Anolis sagrei: one gene and its partner. The protein of the gene in region 1 purifies or fractionates together with the protein of each later gene. This does not show direct contact. Links are inferred from orthologs where the notes say so. Each region holds a gene or a part of one and is shown on either strand. Other genes may lie near its edges.

Region 1 (7,076 bases):
TTCTCTGGGGCTAAAGCAAGCATGGGCCAACTTTCTAACTTGGGGGCCCAGAGCGGGGTGGGCTGGTTAGGGAGGGGGTTGATGATGGATGGGAGAGAAAAAGTGTATCCATGAGACACCCCCCCCCCTTTGCCAACTCCTGACATAGAATCCTAGAATCCTCAAGTTGGAAGAGACCCCCAAGGAGCACCCAGTTCAACCCCCTGCCATGCAGGATGACACAATCAAAGCACTCCCAATAGACAGCCTCTGTGAAAAGCCCCCAGAGTAGGAGACTCCACACTCCTAAGGCCGCCTATGCCGCTCTCCAGGAAGTTCTTTCTAATCTTTTCAGCTGAATCTCTTTCCCTGCCATTTGAACCCATTGCTCCCTTGTGCCTTGGTCTCTAGAGCAGCAGAAAGTTAGCCCCCCCCCCTTCCCTCAATGGGACACTCTTTGAAATCTTGAAACATGGCTCTCATGTTCCTTCCCTACCTTTTCTTCTCCCAGCTAAACATCCCCCAAAGAGGAAAGGAGGAAGGAAAAGGAGAAGGGAGGAAGGGAGGGGAGAGAGAAGGAAGGAAAGACAAAGGAAGGAAGGAAGGAAGGAAGGAAGGAAGGAAGGAAGGAAGGAAGGAAGAGAATAGAAGGAGGGAGGGGAGGGAAGAGTGAAGGAAGGAAAGAAAGACAAAAGGGAAGGCAGGAAAAAGAGGGAAGGATGGAGAAAAGAGGGAAGGAAGGATGAAAGGATGGAAAGGAGGGAAGGAGAACAAGGGAAATAAGGAAGGGAAGGAGGAGGGGAAGGGAGACAGAAGGAAGGATAGGATCCATTCAATTATGAGTCGCCAGTTGGCTGAGAAAGGCGGTACACAAATACAGTAAGTAAGTAAATAAATAAATAAATAATAGGATGGTGAGAGAGAGGAAGGCCTGAGGAAAGAGCTCAAGGGGCCGCATCAGGCCCCCGGGCCTGGTTTTCCCCTTACCTGGGCTAAAGCCAGTTGGGACCCTAAGATCAAGTCACAAGTTGCTGTGGTTTTTAACTTTGAATGTGTTTTAATGGTTTTAAACTGGGAATTTAAAAAATACTGTTTTATATTTAATCCTGTTTTATTGTTTGCATAGTTTTATATTTTAAATTGTATGCTGAGCCACTTTGAGTCTCCTACAGGAGAGATAAAGTGGGATATAGAGGAGGAGGAGGAGGAGAAGGAGGAGGAGGGTGGGTAAGATAACAGGAAGTGAGAGAAATCTACCCTTAGGAAGGGATATTCCCTCCTGAAGGAGTTACCATGGGGAAAAGGGGTCTCCCCTGAAGCTTTATCACATTCACAAGTCATTTTTTTTTTCAAAATCCAATTATCACAGAGACAGAAAACAAGACAAAAAATCTTCTGAAGAGGAGCACAGACACCAAAACAAACACCACATGGGGTATTAACCCTTCCCTATCTGATGCAAAGATTATATTTCTCATACACACACACACACACACAAAGTATTTGATATAATATATCTATATATACAAGAATGCTCTGTGCATAATGAGTACCTTAAAAACCAAAGAACCAATGAACGAAATCACACCAAATTTGGCAGCAAAACGTCTCACAACACAAGGAGTGACCATCACTCAAAAATATGATTTTGTCATTTGGGAGTTGTAGTTGCTGGGATTTACAGTTCACCTACAATCAAAGAGCATTCTGAACCCCACCGACAATAGAATTAGACCAAACCTGGCACACAGTTCTCCCACGACCAACAGAAAATACTGGAAGGGTTTGGTGGGCAGTGTCCTTTGGTTTTGGAGTTGTAGTTCACCTACATCCAGAGATCACTGTGGACTCAAACAATGATGGATCTTCACCAAACTCTACGCGAATACTCAATATGCCCAAATGTGAACACTGGTGGAGTTTGGGGAAAATAGACCTTGACATTTGGGAGTTGTGATTGCTGGGATTTATAGTTCACCTACAATCACAGAGCATTCGGAACATCACCAACGATAGAATTGGGCCAAACCTCCCATACAGAACCCCCGTGTGGGCCACAGCAACGCGTGGTAAGGGACTGCTAGTAGCTTATATATATCTTTGGCTGAAGTTACACTTAAAATGTTCTGACTTCCATACCAATGCAACTATTATATATATATATATATGTATTTGTTATAGTATCTATCTTATATATAATATGCTATATATTTGACTGAAAAACGTTCTGACTTCCATACAGATTCTGTATTTCATACATACATATATACACACAGTATTTGATATAATATATATATATATATATATATATATAATAATAATATATCTTTGGCTGGAGTCACACTTAGAAATGTACCTGTTCCCACTTCCATACAAATTGAACTACAGAAGCTATCTTGCTTGTAACTTGGGGACTGCCTGCTTGCCCATAGATTCAGAGCTGGAGGAGACCCCAGCAGCCGTCCTGTCCCTCCCACCCCATTCTGACACAACGAAGGGCACGGCCCGATCCCTCCCGACAGATGCGCGTGCGGCCGGCCTGCCTGCGCCTGCTGACCTTTGAGGAGGGCGAGTCGGGCGCGCTGGGCGTCCCTGGTGAGCGCGCGCAGGACCAGGGCCAGGGTGCTGTCCTCGCGCAGGGCCTGGGCGCGCGGGCAGCGCTCGTCGTAGAGCACCACGGCGGCGTAGAGGCCCTCGCGCAGCCCCGCGCGGGCCTCCTCCTCGGCCGGCAGGATCTGCTCCAGGCTGACGGCGCCCTTGGCCCTCCTCCGCACGATGGTGTTGCAGCGCACGTTGAGCGCCCCGCGGATGAAGCCCGCGCTGTGAGCCAGGAAGGGGCGGCAGTCCAGCAGCAGGAGGCACTTGGACCCCGAAGAAGAGTGCAGGAGGAGGCGGTGCAAGGCGCCGCACTCCATCTCGCCCAGGGGCTCCACCATCATGGCCTTAGCGCATGGCCGCCACGCAGCTGCACCAGCAACAACAACAACAGCAGCAGCAGGGGATTTAAGAATGAAGCGGCTGCGGTTCTCATGGGCGGGGCTTTTAAATCGCCCCGCCCCGCCCACCTCCCCCTTGTCCACGCCTCCATTGTGACGTCAGCGTTCCATTCACTGCCAGGGAGGCTAGGAAGGGGCGGGCCCTAGCCTCCCCTGGCAGTGAATGGAATGCTGACGTCACGATGGGGGCGTGGACAAGCAGGAGGTGGGCGGGGCCCTGTGATTAAAAAAGATCTGCGCGCGTTCATTCATAAAAAAAAGAGAGGGAAAAAGACCTTTCTTTCCTAGGTCGTTTGTTTATTTATCGTGTCAGGGGCAACTAGACAATTGTATTACATTTCTAACAGAACAAAACAGACAGACAAAACACAAAATTTGCAAGCTTGGTAGTTGATTAAATGTCCTTTGACCAGTATCTGGCCACTTGGAGTGCCTCTGGTGTTGCTGCAAGAAGGTCCTCCATTGTGCATGTGGCAGGGCTCAGGTTGCATTGCAGCAGGTGGTCAGTGGTTTGCTCTTCTCCACACTCGCATGTCGTGGATTCCACTTTGTGGCCCCATTTCTGAAGGTTGGCTCTGCATCTCGTGGTGCCAGAGGACAGTCTGTTCAACGCCTTCCAAGTCACCCAGTTTTCTGTGTGCCCAGGGGGGAGTCTCTCATTTGGTATCAGCCATTGATTGAGGTTCTGGGTTTGAGCCTGCCACTTTTGGACTCCCGCTTGCTGAGGTGTTCCAGCAAGTGTCTCTGTAGATCTTAGAAAATTATTTCTTGATTTAAGTCGTTGACGTGCTGGCTGATACCCAAACAGTGGATAGGCTGGAGATGTCACTGCCTTGGTCCTTTCAGTATTCAGTATTCCCGGCGGATGTCAGGTGGTGCAATGCCGTCTAAACGGTGTAATTTCTCCAGTGGTGTGGGTCGCAGACACCCTGTGATAATGCGGCATGTCTCATTAAGAGCCACATCCACTGTTTTAGTGTGGTGAGATGTGTACCACACTGGGCATGCATACTCAGCAGCAGAGTAGCATAGCGCAAGAGCAGATGTCTTCACTGTGTCTGGTTGTGATCCCCAGGTTGTGCCAGTCAGATTTCGTATGATATTGTTTCTAGCACCCACTTTTTGCTTGATGTTCAGGCAGTGCTTCTTGTAGGTCAGAGCATGGTCCAGAGTGACTCCCAGGTATTTGGGTGCGCTGCAATGCTCCAGTGGGATTCCTTCCCAGGTGATCCTTAGAGCTCAGGATGCTTGTCTGTTCTTAAGGTGAAAGGCACATGTCTGTGTTTTAGATGGGTTAGCGATCAGTTGGTTTTCCCTGTAATAGGCAGTAAGAGCACCTAGAGCTTCGGAGTGCTTCTGTTCAACCATCTCAAAGCTCCCTGCTTGAGCAGTAATGGCACGATCTTCAGCATAGATGAAACTCTCTGTCCCTTCTGGCAGTGGCTGGTCATTTGTGTAAATGTTGAACATGGGTGGAGCAAACATGCTCCCCTGAGGCAGGCCATTCTTCTGTTTCCGCCATCTGCTTCTCTGGCCCTGGAAGTCAACAAAAAAGCTCCTGTTTTGTAGCAGGTTTCCTATGAGACGGGTAAGGTGGCAGTCCTTTGTGATATTATACATTTTTCTCAGGAGGTCGTTTGTTGACCTGTCGTCACCTGGCTTCCCTTTTTTTCTGTGTGCATCTACGCTCTTGACTCAGTGCATTTTGACACTATTTCCACTGTCAGAGTTCAATGCTTTGGAAGGATGGGATTTTTTTAAGGTATTTTTTTCTTTTGACTGAATGAGCAAATCAATCACACATCTGGGTTGTAAATTTCTGTGCAAAAGCATTGAAGTGCTTTACTAAAAATTACAACATAGAAACACATTAACAAATTTATACAATCAGATTTAGGAAGCAGCCAGGCTTTGAAGCTGCAAGGCCATTAAATGCTAATCAACGTGCCTAATTGCAACATTCACACTTGCCTCAAACAGACAAGAGTTCTACCTGTTTGAATCTAAGGAGCCTCCGGTGGCACAGTGGGTTAAATCGCTGAGCTGCTGAACTTGCTGACCGAAAGGTTGGCAGTTCAAATCCGGGGAGCAGGATAAGCTCCCACTGTTAGCTCCAGCTTCTGCCAAGCTAGCAGTTCAAAAACATGCAAAATGTGAGTAGATGAATAAGTACCGCTCTGGCAGGAAGGTAAGGGCGCTCCATGCTGTCATGCCAGCCACATGACCTTGCAGGCGTCTATGGACAACGCCGGCTCTTCGGCTTAGAAATGCCCCCCCCCCCCAAGAGTTGAATATGACTTAATGTCAAAGGGAAACCTTTACCTTTACTTAGACAGAGAGATTTCATGACCAAGCTAAAATTAATTAAAATCTAAAATTGCTGCTTGCACTTTTGGATTGTTCCATTCTCCTAACCCCTAATATCAATGTCTTCCATTGAAGACACCCAACAATTCTGCCAATGTGGGCTTTTAAGAAAGACTGCTGTCAGGCAGAGCCCTTGTCTAGTTAACCTCAAGAGTCCAGAGGGACGGTTTGAAAACAGGCCTGACAACTCTGGTCACCGGCCAAGTTTGTATTTTGGTTTGTTTTTCCTGAAAGTGCACCTTCAACCTTGTGCAGGCAAGGCCTGATTTGTAACAGTTCCCTATTAGGAAGTCATGGGGATTGCAGAAGCTGCGGCGTGTTACTTGCTTGTACAGCCTAAATAATAATTACCTCGGGGATTTGTACTGATATTTCACAAAGCAAGGAGTTCCCTTTCCTCACCCTGTAATTATAGCGTAAGCGTCGGCGTTCCATTCACTTTCAGGGAAAGTAAAGAGAGGCGAGTGTGGGAATGCAAGTGCCCTTCACTGACAGGTTTATACATCAGATGAAACCCAACCAGAAGTGGATGCAGGCAGAGTTTTTCTGTGTCAGCTGGTACATGGGGCCAAAATGTGGCAATTACTGTGACATATATACAACCACTTAAAACACAAACAGAAATTCAGCCAATGCTTACTCATTGTCAACTTCCACCCACTTCAGTGGAGGAGACTGCTGATGTGTTGAGATCTCTTCTTCTCTCTTTCTTTGTTACCATTATATCCCTTTTCTCTGAGGCCCCTTCTATACTGCCATATAAAATCCAGATTACCTGCTTTGAGCTGGATTATATGGTAGTGTAGACTCAGGGGCAGCTCAACCCATTACGCAAAGTACGCATTTGCAGTATAGTTGATTTTGCCCAGGGGTGCTCTTGGGGGGAAATAGACCTTGACATATGCGAGTTGTAGTTACTGGGATGTATAGTTCACTTACAATCAAAGAGCATTCTGAACTCCACCAATGATGGAATTGAACCAAATATGGCACACAGAACTCCCACGACGAACAGAAAATATATATCAGTGATTGGTTGGGGGGTGCCAAAATATGTTTGCTTACCATTGAAAATTACCTAGGGCCGCCTCTGTGTAGACTCATATAATCCAGTTCAAAGGAGATAATGTGGATTATCTTATTTGATAATCTGGATTATATGGTAGTGTTGAAGGAGCCTAAAGAGTTTGGGAGTGGTGAACACTGTTGCACTCATCTCCACTTTGTCCTCGCAACAATCCTAGGAGGAAGGCCTGACCAGAATGGGAGAAAGTAGCCACCACAAAGGCCCCATCTACATTGTCCTTATAATACAGATTGAACTACATTATATGGTCAATGTAGGCCCCTTCTACACTGCATATAATCCAAATTATCAAAACATATAATCAAAACTATCTGCTTTGAAGTGGATTATGAGTCTACACTGTCATGCAGTTCAAATCAGATAATCTGGATTTTATTTGGCAGTGTAGAAGGGGCTGTATTATTATTATTATTATTATTATTATTATTATTATTATTATTTTACTGACACGAAAACACAATACGTCACAGCAAATGAGCTCTATATGCTGTATTTCGTATCACTTCCCAAGCATCTAGGACTGCGTGATGTATTTTCGAATGAGCAAGCAGATCCAAGTAAGATGGGCTTTTGCAGTTGACAGATCGTGATTTGGTCAATGTTGATTGTTTCCAAATGCCGGCTGAGATCTTTTAGCATGGTACCCA
Region 2 (7,496 bases), on another chromosome or scaffold:
AGGTCTTTAGCCTTCTCTGCCAAAGAGTGCTGGTGCATCACCAAACTACAGATCCCAGTATTCCATATTATTGAGCAAAGGAAATTAAAGCTGTGTCAAACTTCATTAATTCTGAAGTGTAGATGCAATGTAAGATAAACATAATAAGGCTGGCCTCAATGCCTTCTGTCACGAAGACATGGAAACTTTAGTATGAGCAATATCATGCAGTAAGAGAAAGCAACAAAATTTGACCCCAATTAGCCAAAATGTTTGGAACCAAGAGTGATTGAAATTTTGGAGGATTCTGGAATTCAAAATAAGGGAAACTCAATATACATTGGGCTGGCAAAAGAACAAGAATGAAAGTCGATATAATGCCGGAGTAGCTTCTAAAATGCCAAGCCTCTTTATACCCCTTGCAATCTCAAAAAAAAAACCAACCTTGAACAATTATGAAACAACTCCTTTTTGCCAAAGGCTGCCTCCTCAGCACCAAAAGCTAGTGGGGTGCATGCAAAGACAGAACCGAAGGGGTCAAGGAGGTTTGCAGGAGAGACGCGCGAACTGCAGCAGATACTGTGACAGTGCACAATGCACCTGCGTAGAGGCGGCATCGCCAGCCAGCCAGCTTTTGCACAGGAGAGGAGCTGAATGCTGTTTGACACCAATTTAGCTGCCTTGGCTCAATGCTATGGAATGCACGATTTTGCAGATATGGCTGGACCCCCAGGATTCGACAGCATTGAGCCATGGTTAAACTGGTATCAAACTGTGCTGATTCTGCAGCGTAGATGTACTCTCAGTCAGGATGTTGAATTAATGCACTTTGTCAGTGCTTTAACTGCCATGGCTCAGTGCTATGGAATCCTATTTATTTACTTATTTATGACATTTACATGCCACCCTCCTCACCCCAAAGGGGACTCAGAGCAGCTTACAAGTTATATGTACATACAATGTATTACATCATTAGCACAGCACAATATTAGTATTACATGTTACTATATTGTATTATACCACTATGCTGTAATATTACATGTAATATGGAATATAAAATTATTATATTGTATTATTAGTATTATATTACATTGTAATATTATCAATAATATATGTATATACAATATATAATATTAGCACAGCACAATATTAGTATTATATATTACTATACTGTACTATACCACCATACTGCAGTATTACATGTAATATGAAATATAAATTATTACACTGTATTATTAGTATTATTTTGTATTACATTATAATATTATCAATAACATATGTCTATACAATATATTATATTATTGGCACAGCACAATATAGTATTAAATATTACAATATTGTACTGTATTTCTAAACTGTAATATTATTAGTAATATAAAGTATATGATAATTGGGTTGTTGTAGGTTTTTCGGGCTATATGGCCATGTTCCAGAAGCATTCTCTCCTGATGTTTTGCCTGCATCTGTATTTTGATTTTGTAAACTGATTTAATGTATTTTCAAAGGCTTTCATGGCCGGAATCACTGGGTTGTTGTAGGTATTTCGGGCTATGTCGCCATGTTCTAGAAGCATTCTCTCCTGACGTTTTGCCTGCATCTATGGCAAGCATCCTCACAGGTTGTTATTGTTATTTTGCCTGTGCTACTTGTAATTTTTACATTGTTATGTATGCGTATGTTTTATGTTAATATGATGTTATTGTTATTGTTTGCATTTTCGGTTTGTGTTTTGGTTTTTTTTTCTTTATTGTAATTGTTGTTTGGGCTTGGCCTCATGTAAGCCGCTCCGAGTCCCCATCGGGGAGATGGTGGCGAGGTATAAGTAAAGATAATTATTATTATTATTATTATTGTGAAATCTGACCTCACTACCTCTGAGGATGCTTGCCATAGATGCAGGCAAAACGTCAGGAGAGAATGCTTCTAGAACATGGCCATATAGCCCGAAAAACCTACAACAATCCAGTGATTATTATTATTTTAATGAAATAAATTACGCCAATGGCCAGAGGTCTGGAGGAGCCCAGCAGCAGCCACCAGTACTCGGGAGACTCTCCAAGCCCCCATAACCCTAAATATTATTATTATTATTATTAAACTTTATTTGTACCCCGCTAGCATATCCCGAAGGACTCGATGCGGCTTACAAAGGCCAAGGCCTCAACACACAATATAACAATACAAAACCTAAAGCAAATAATCCCAGCCATGAAAGACTTGGCCAATATATGATTTTTATATTGTATTATTACGAATATATTGTAATCCTAGGAGCCTTCAGCCATCTCTGCCAAAGAGATGCTAACTCATCGAATTAGAACTCCCAATACTCCACAGCACTGAGACAGGGCAACTGCAGGGGTGTCAAACTGCAGATGCGGCCAAGGCGGTCTGCCTTGAACGTGTGACCCTGAGGCTCTGTTAAGGAGCTCCCTCCCTTTTCGACGAAGGGTTGCCACTCACCAGACCGAGCCGTAGGCCCCGGAGCCCACCGGCGAGAGGTTCTGGTACCGCTCGGGGACCTCCCAGATGGTCTTGTTCAGCTCCTGCCGGTAGAACTTGGGCCGCTCGTGGGTCATCGCGACCCCGGGCCCGCCCCGCCCAGCGCGGCCTGGAGGGAGGGAGACCCTCGCACGGGACCCTTGGCTCCGCCCCCTTCAGAGGGGAGGGGGGAAAGGGGAGGGGTCTCTCCGTCACTCACTCACTCACACACACACACACTCTCTCTCTCTGTGCTGCGCGCGCGCCCAACCGCCGCCTCAGCTGGCCCGGACGCCTCGTGCCGCTGCAGGGGAAACACGGGGCGCCTCTTTCCTTGGGAACTGCTTTTAGGGACCCCCTCACCCCACCCCCTGCAAAAAGCCTTCCCCCCTCAGCGTAAGGAGGCTTGCGGTCGCCCTGGAAGAAGCCCGCTTCAGCCCCGCAACGACGAGGACTCGCCCGCGCCTGACTTCTCCCGACCTCCCCTTCTTCCTTAGATGCCAGAACCAATCGATCGCGGAGGTCTCGCGAGACTTCCGGGAGATGGATGGAAAAAAAAAAACTCCCAGCGAGATGCCCCAATATGGAACCTAGCTGGAGCGCTCTGGAATCCGCGGAGCAGCGGGAAGGTCTCGCGAGAGCCTGAAGGCAGCGAGAAGAAAAGGCGAAAGAAGGCGGAGCTTGAGAACAGGAAGGATGAGATTTTGTGACAGCTCCAGCTGGTCTGTCTCTCTCTCTCTCTCTCTCTACACCAGTGTTTCTCTACCTTTCTAGTCCAGGACCCCTTTAATACAGTTCCTCCTGTTGTGGTGACTCCCAATCACAAAATTATTTTGGTTGCTATTTATTTACTTACTAGCCGTCCCCTGCCACACGTTGCTGTGGCCCACATGGGGGTTGTGTGTGGGAGGTTTGGCCCAATTCTATCGTTGGTGGGGTTCAGAATGCTCTGTGATTGTAGGTGAACTATAAATCCCAGCAACTACAACTCCCAAATGTCAAGATTCTATTTCCCCCAAACTCCACCAGTGTTCACATCTGGGCATATTGAGTATTCATGTAGAGTTTGGTCCAGATCCATCATTGCTTGTGTCCACGGTGATCTCTGGATGTAGGTGAACTACAACTCCAAAAGTAGGAGCCCCCGGTGGCGCAGTGGGTTAAACCCCTATGCCGGCAGGACTGAAGACCGACAGGTCGCAGGTTCGAATCCAGGGAGAGGCGGTTGAGCTCCCTCTATCAGCTCCAGCTCCTCATGCAGGGACATGAGAGAAGCCTCCCACAAGGATGATAAAAACATCAAATCATCCAGGCGTCCCCTGGGCAACGTCCTTGCAGACAGCCAATTCTCTCACAAGAGAAGCAACTTGCTCCTGACACGACAAAAAAAAAAAACAACAACAACAAAAAAACAAAACTCCAAAACCAAAGGACACTGCCCACCAAACCCTTCCAATATTTTCTGTTGGTCATGGAGTTCTGTGTGCCAAGTTTGGTTCAATTCCATCGTTAATGTAGTTCAGAATGCTCTTTGATTATAGGTTAACTATAAATCCCAGCAACTACAACTCCCAAATGACAAAATAATATTTTTTTGAGTGATGGCCACTCCTTGTATAGTGAGACGTTTTGTTGCCAAATTTGGTGTGATTTCGTTCACTGGTTCTTTTGTTTTTAAGGTACTCATTATGCACAGAGCATTTATATATATATAGATTTCCAGTATTTCTACCCCATCCTTCTCAACCCCTGAAGGGGGACTCAGGATGACTTAAATTTGGCACAATGTGATGCCATTAAATATAACAAAGCAATATAACAACAATTAAAACATAAATAGAACATTAAATAAAACAATAAAAACAGTATTAACCACCGTATCACCATTCCAGTCAAATTCCATATCCAAAGTTGGATGGGGTTACACTCCCCCTGAAGGCACAGGTTCGGAGCTTGGGAGTGGTTCTGGATTCATTGCTGAGCCTGGAACCCCAGGTTTTGGCGGTGGCCACGTCAACTTTTGCATAGTCAAAGCTTGTGCGCCAGCTACACCCGTACCTTGGGAAGTCTGAACTGGCTATGGTCGTCCACGCTCTGGTCACATCCCGAATAGATTACTGCAACGCACTCTACATGGGGATGTCTTTGAAGACGGTTCGGAAACCACGACTTCAATTTCTTGCTAAAACACAGGAGGGATGAAGCCGATCTACCTCGTTGTGAAGCGAGTTCCACAGGCAGAGGGCTACAGCCGAGGAGGCCCTGTCTCTCATTCCTGCCAGACGTATTTGTAATGCTGGCGGGAGCGAGAGCAGGGTCTCCCCGGATGATCTTAAACTGCAAAGCAGGACATAGAGGGAGATGCGTTCAGACAAGTAAGTTGGGCCAAAACTGCATAGAGCTTAATAGGTCAAAACCAGCACTTTGAATTGAGTTTGGAAGTGTATCGGCAGCCAATGGAGCTGGCACAACAAGGGGGTGGTGTGCTCCCTGTATGTCGCTCCAGTTAGTAATCTGGCTGCAGCCCGGTGGACTAGTTGAAGTTTCCGAACAGGCTTCAAAGGCAGCCCCGTGTAGAATGTGTTGCAGTAATCAGTTCGGGATGTAACAAGAGCGTGGACAACTATTGCCAGATCAGACTTCCCAAAGTACGGGCGCAGCTGGCACACAAGCTTTAACTGTGCAAAAGCTCCCCTGGCCACCGCTGAAACCTGGGGTTCCAGGCTCAGCAATGAATCCAGGATCACTCCCAAGCTGCGAACCTGCGTCTTCAGGGGGAGTGTAACCCCATCCAACACAGGATGTAACCCTATGCCCTGTTCGGCCTTTTGACTGACCTCTGTCTTGTCAGGATTCAATTTCAATTTGTTAGCCCTCATCCAGTCCAACACAGTGGCCAAGCACTGGTTCAGTAGCTGAACAGCCTCCTTAGTAACGGGGTGGGAAGGAGTGACAGATTTGGACGTCATCTGCTACTTCATAACTGTAATGTTGCTACTGTTATGAATCGTCGTGTAAATATCTGATATGTAGGATGTATTTTCATTCACTGGACCAAATCTGGCACAAATACCCAATATGCCCAAATTTGAATACTGGTGGGGCTTGGAGGGGGGGGGGGGGGGGTTGATTTTTGCCATTTGGGAATAGTAATTGCTGGGATTTTAGTTCATCTACCAAAAAGCATTCTGAACTCCACCAACGATGGAATTGAACCAAACTTGAAACACAGAACTCGCATGACCAACAGAAAATACTGGAAGGGCTTGGTCGGCATTGACCTTGAGTTTAGGAGTTGTAGTTCAGCTACATCCAGAGAGCACTGTGGACTCAAACGTTGATAGATCTGGACCAAACTTGGTACAAATACTCAATATGCCCAAATGTGAATACTAGTGGAGTTTAGGTAAAATAGACCTTGACATTTTGGAGTTGTAGTTGCTGGGATTTATAGTTTACCTACAATCAAAGAGCATTCTGAACCCCCCCCCCCCCACATGGTCTTTCGCAGCCCCTCCAATACCCCCTCGTGATCCCCCCCAGGGGCCCCGATCCCCAGGTTGAGAAACGCTGCTCTACACTGTAGAACAGGGATGGACAAACTTTGACCTTCCTGGTGTTTAGGACTTCAACTCCCACAATTGCTTTTTTTTAATTAAATTTACATATATTAACACATTACAGTGTAAACAGAACACAAAACAATTACAAAACAATTACAAACACATAATCCCACAACCAAGGCCTGAACAAGTATAATTTCCTTTGCCACTAATTTATGAGTCAACCAGTAAACAGATGTCATATCCAAAATTCCTGACCAACAAGGTTGTAGGCTGTTAAGAATTGTGGGAGTTGAAGTCCAAAACACCTGGAGGGCCAAAGTTTGCCCATGCCTGCTATAGGAATGCGGTTTGACACCACTTTTACCTGCCCTGGCTCAATGGCACAGAATCCTGGAAGTTGTACTTTGGCAAGGCATACACACTCTTTGGCAGAGGAGGCTAAAGCTCTTGTCAAACTACAGCTCCCTGGACCCCACAGCAGTTGAAGTGGTGCCAAACTGCAATTCATTCTACAGTGTAGAAGGTGCACCCTGGGAAATCCAAGATTACATTTGTGGCTTTCCTGCCAATTCTTCAACTAGATGGTGCAACTTTCTCTCGCAGTCCTTGTGTTTATGCTAATCTCATGGGATATTATTTTTACACCTAAGAATTATGCATCTGGTATAGTCTGGCAATTTTTTTGTTGCTGTCACTCAACCAAGATGCTTTTATAAAAACAGCTTTTAAACATGAATTTTAATGTCCTTTGTTTAATCTGGGTTGTGTTTTTTTGCATTTTAATACACATTTTATAGAAATAAATTTTAATATGTATCTTTTTATAGATATACATTTTATTTTTTATTTTTTAAATATTTTTATTACTTTATCATAATTATTACATTTATTATACATTTGTTTATAGCAGTTACATATTATTCAACACCCTCTTTAACATATAATCTTTTTCTTCTGCTTAAGCATTTTCCCCCTTTTTTCCCCCCACCACTGTGCTCCCCTCCCCCCATTTCAAGCCACAACTTTTACATATCATCTGTCCAAAATCTCATTTCTTCTTGTGGCGGTAACCTTCCTTGTTTTTTAAACCATTTACAACAAATTTACCCCATACAACATCAAAATCACTTTGTTTCCATATACTTTTTTAACTTTTAATATACATGTCAGCTTATTATTTATTGCCAATTTCCATGCTTCCTTGTACCACTCCTCTATTTGTATATTTATTTCTTTTTTCCAGTTCCTTGCTATGAGCAGTCTTGCTATTGTTAATAAGTTTATCACTTCTTTATCCTCCTTGTTCAATTGTTTGTTGTTATATAGTGATAATAAGGCTATACTAGGACTTTTCTCAATTTTCATATTCATTATATCTTCTATTTCTCTAAATACTTTCTCCCAAAAATTATTTACATATTTACATTGCCACCACATATGTATGTATGTTCCTGGTTTTTGACACCCGCT

The links. Proteins that work in one complex are often made in the same cells at the same time.
Region 2: the proteins of DUSP4 (region 1) and MAPK14 purify together in Homo sapiens (affinity purification with mass spectrometry; 3 studies listed by BioGRID and IntAct, with this or other methods). This does not show direct contact. The link is inferred for Anolis sagrei from reciprocal best matches to the Homo sapiens genes DUSP4 and MAPK14.

Annotation. Positions count from the first base shown.
Region 1 is NC_090022.1:195,039,514-195,046,589, forward strand, and holds the start of DUSP4 (dual specificity protein phosphatase 4), read right to left. Parts: upstream 3,012-7,076; 5' UTR 2,919-3,011; coding exon 2,537-2,918; intron 1-2,536. UniProt on the Homo sapiens protein: Regulates mitogenic signal transduction by dephosphorylating both Thr and Tyr residues on MAP kinases ERK1 and ERK2.
Region 2 is NC_090024.1:186,304,347-186,311,842, reverse strand, and holds the start of MAPK14 (mitogen-activated protein kinase 14), read right to left. Parts: upstream 3,018-7,496; 5' UTR 2,559-3,017; coding exon 2,443-2,558; intron 1-2,442. UniProt on the Homo sapiens protein: Serine/threonine kinase which acts as an essential component of the MAP kinase signal transduction pathway.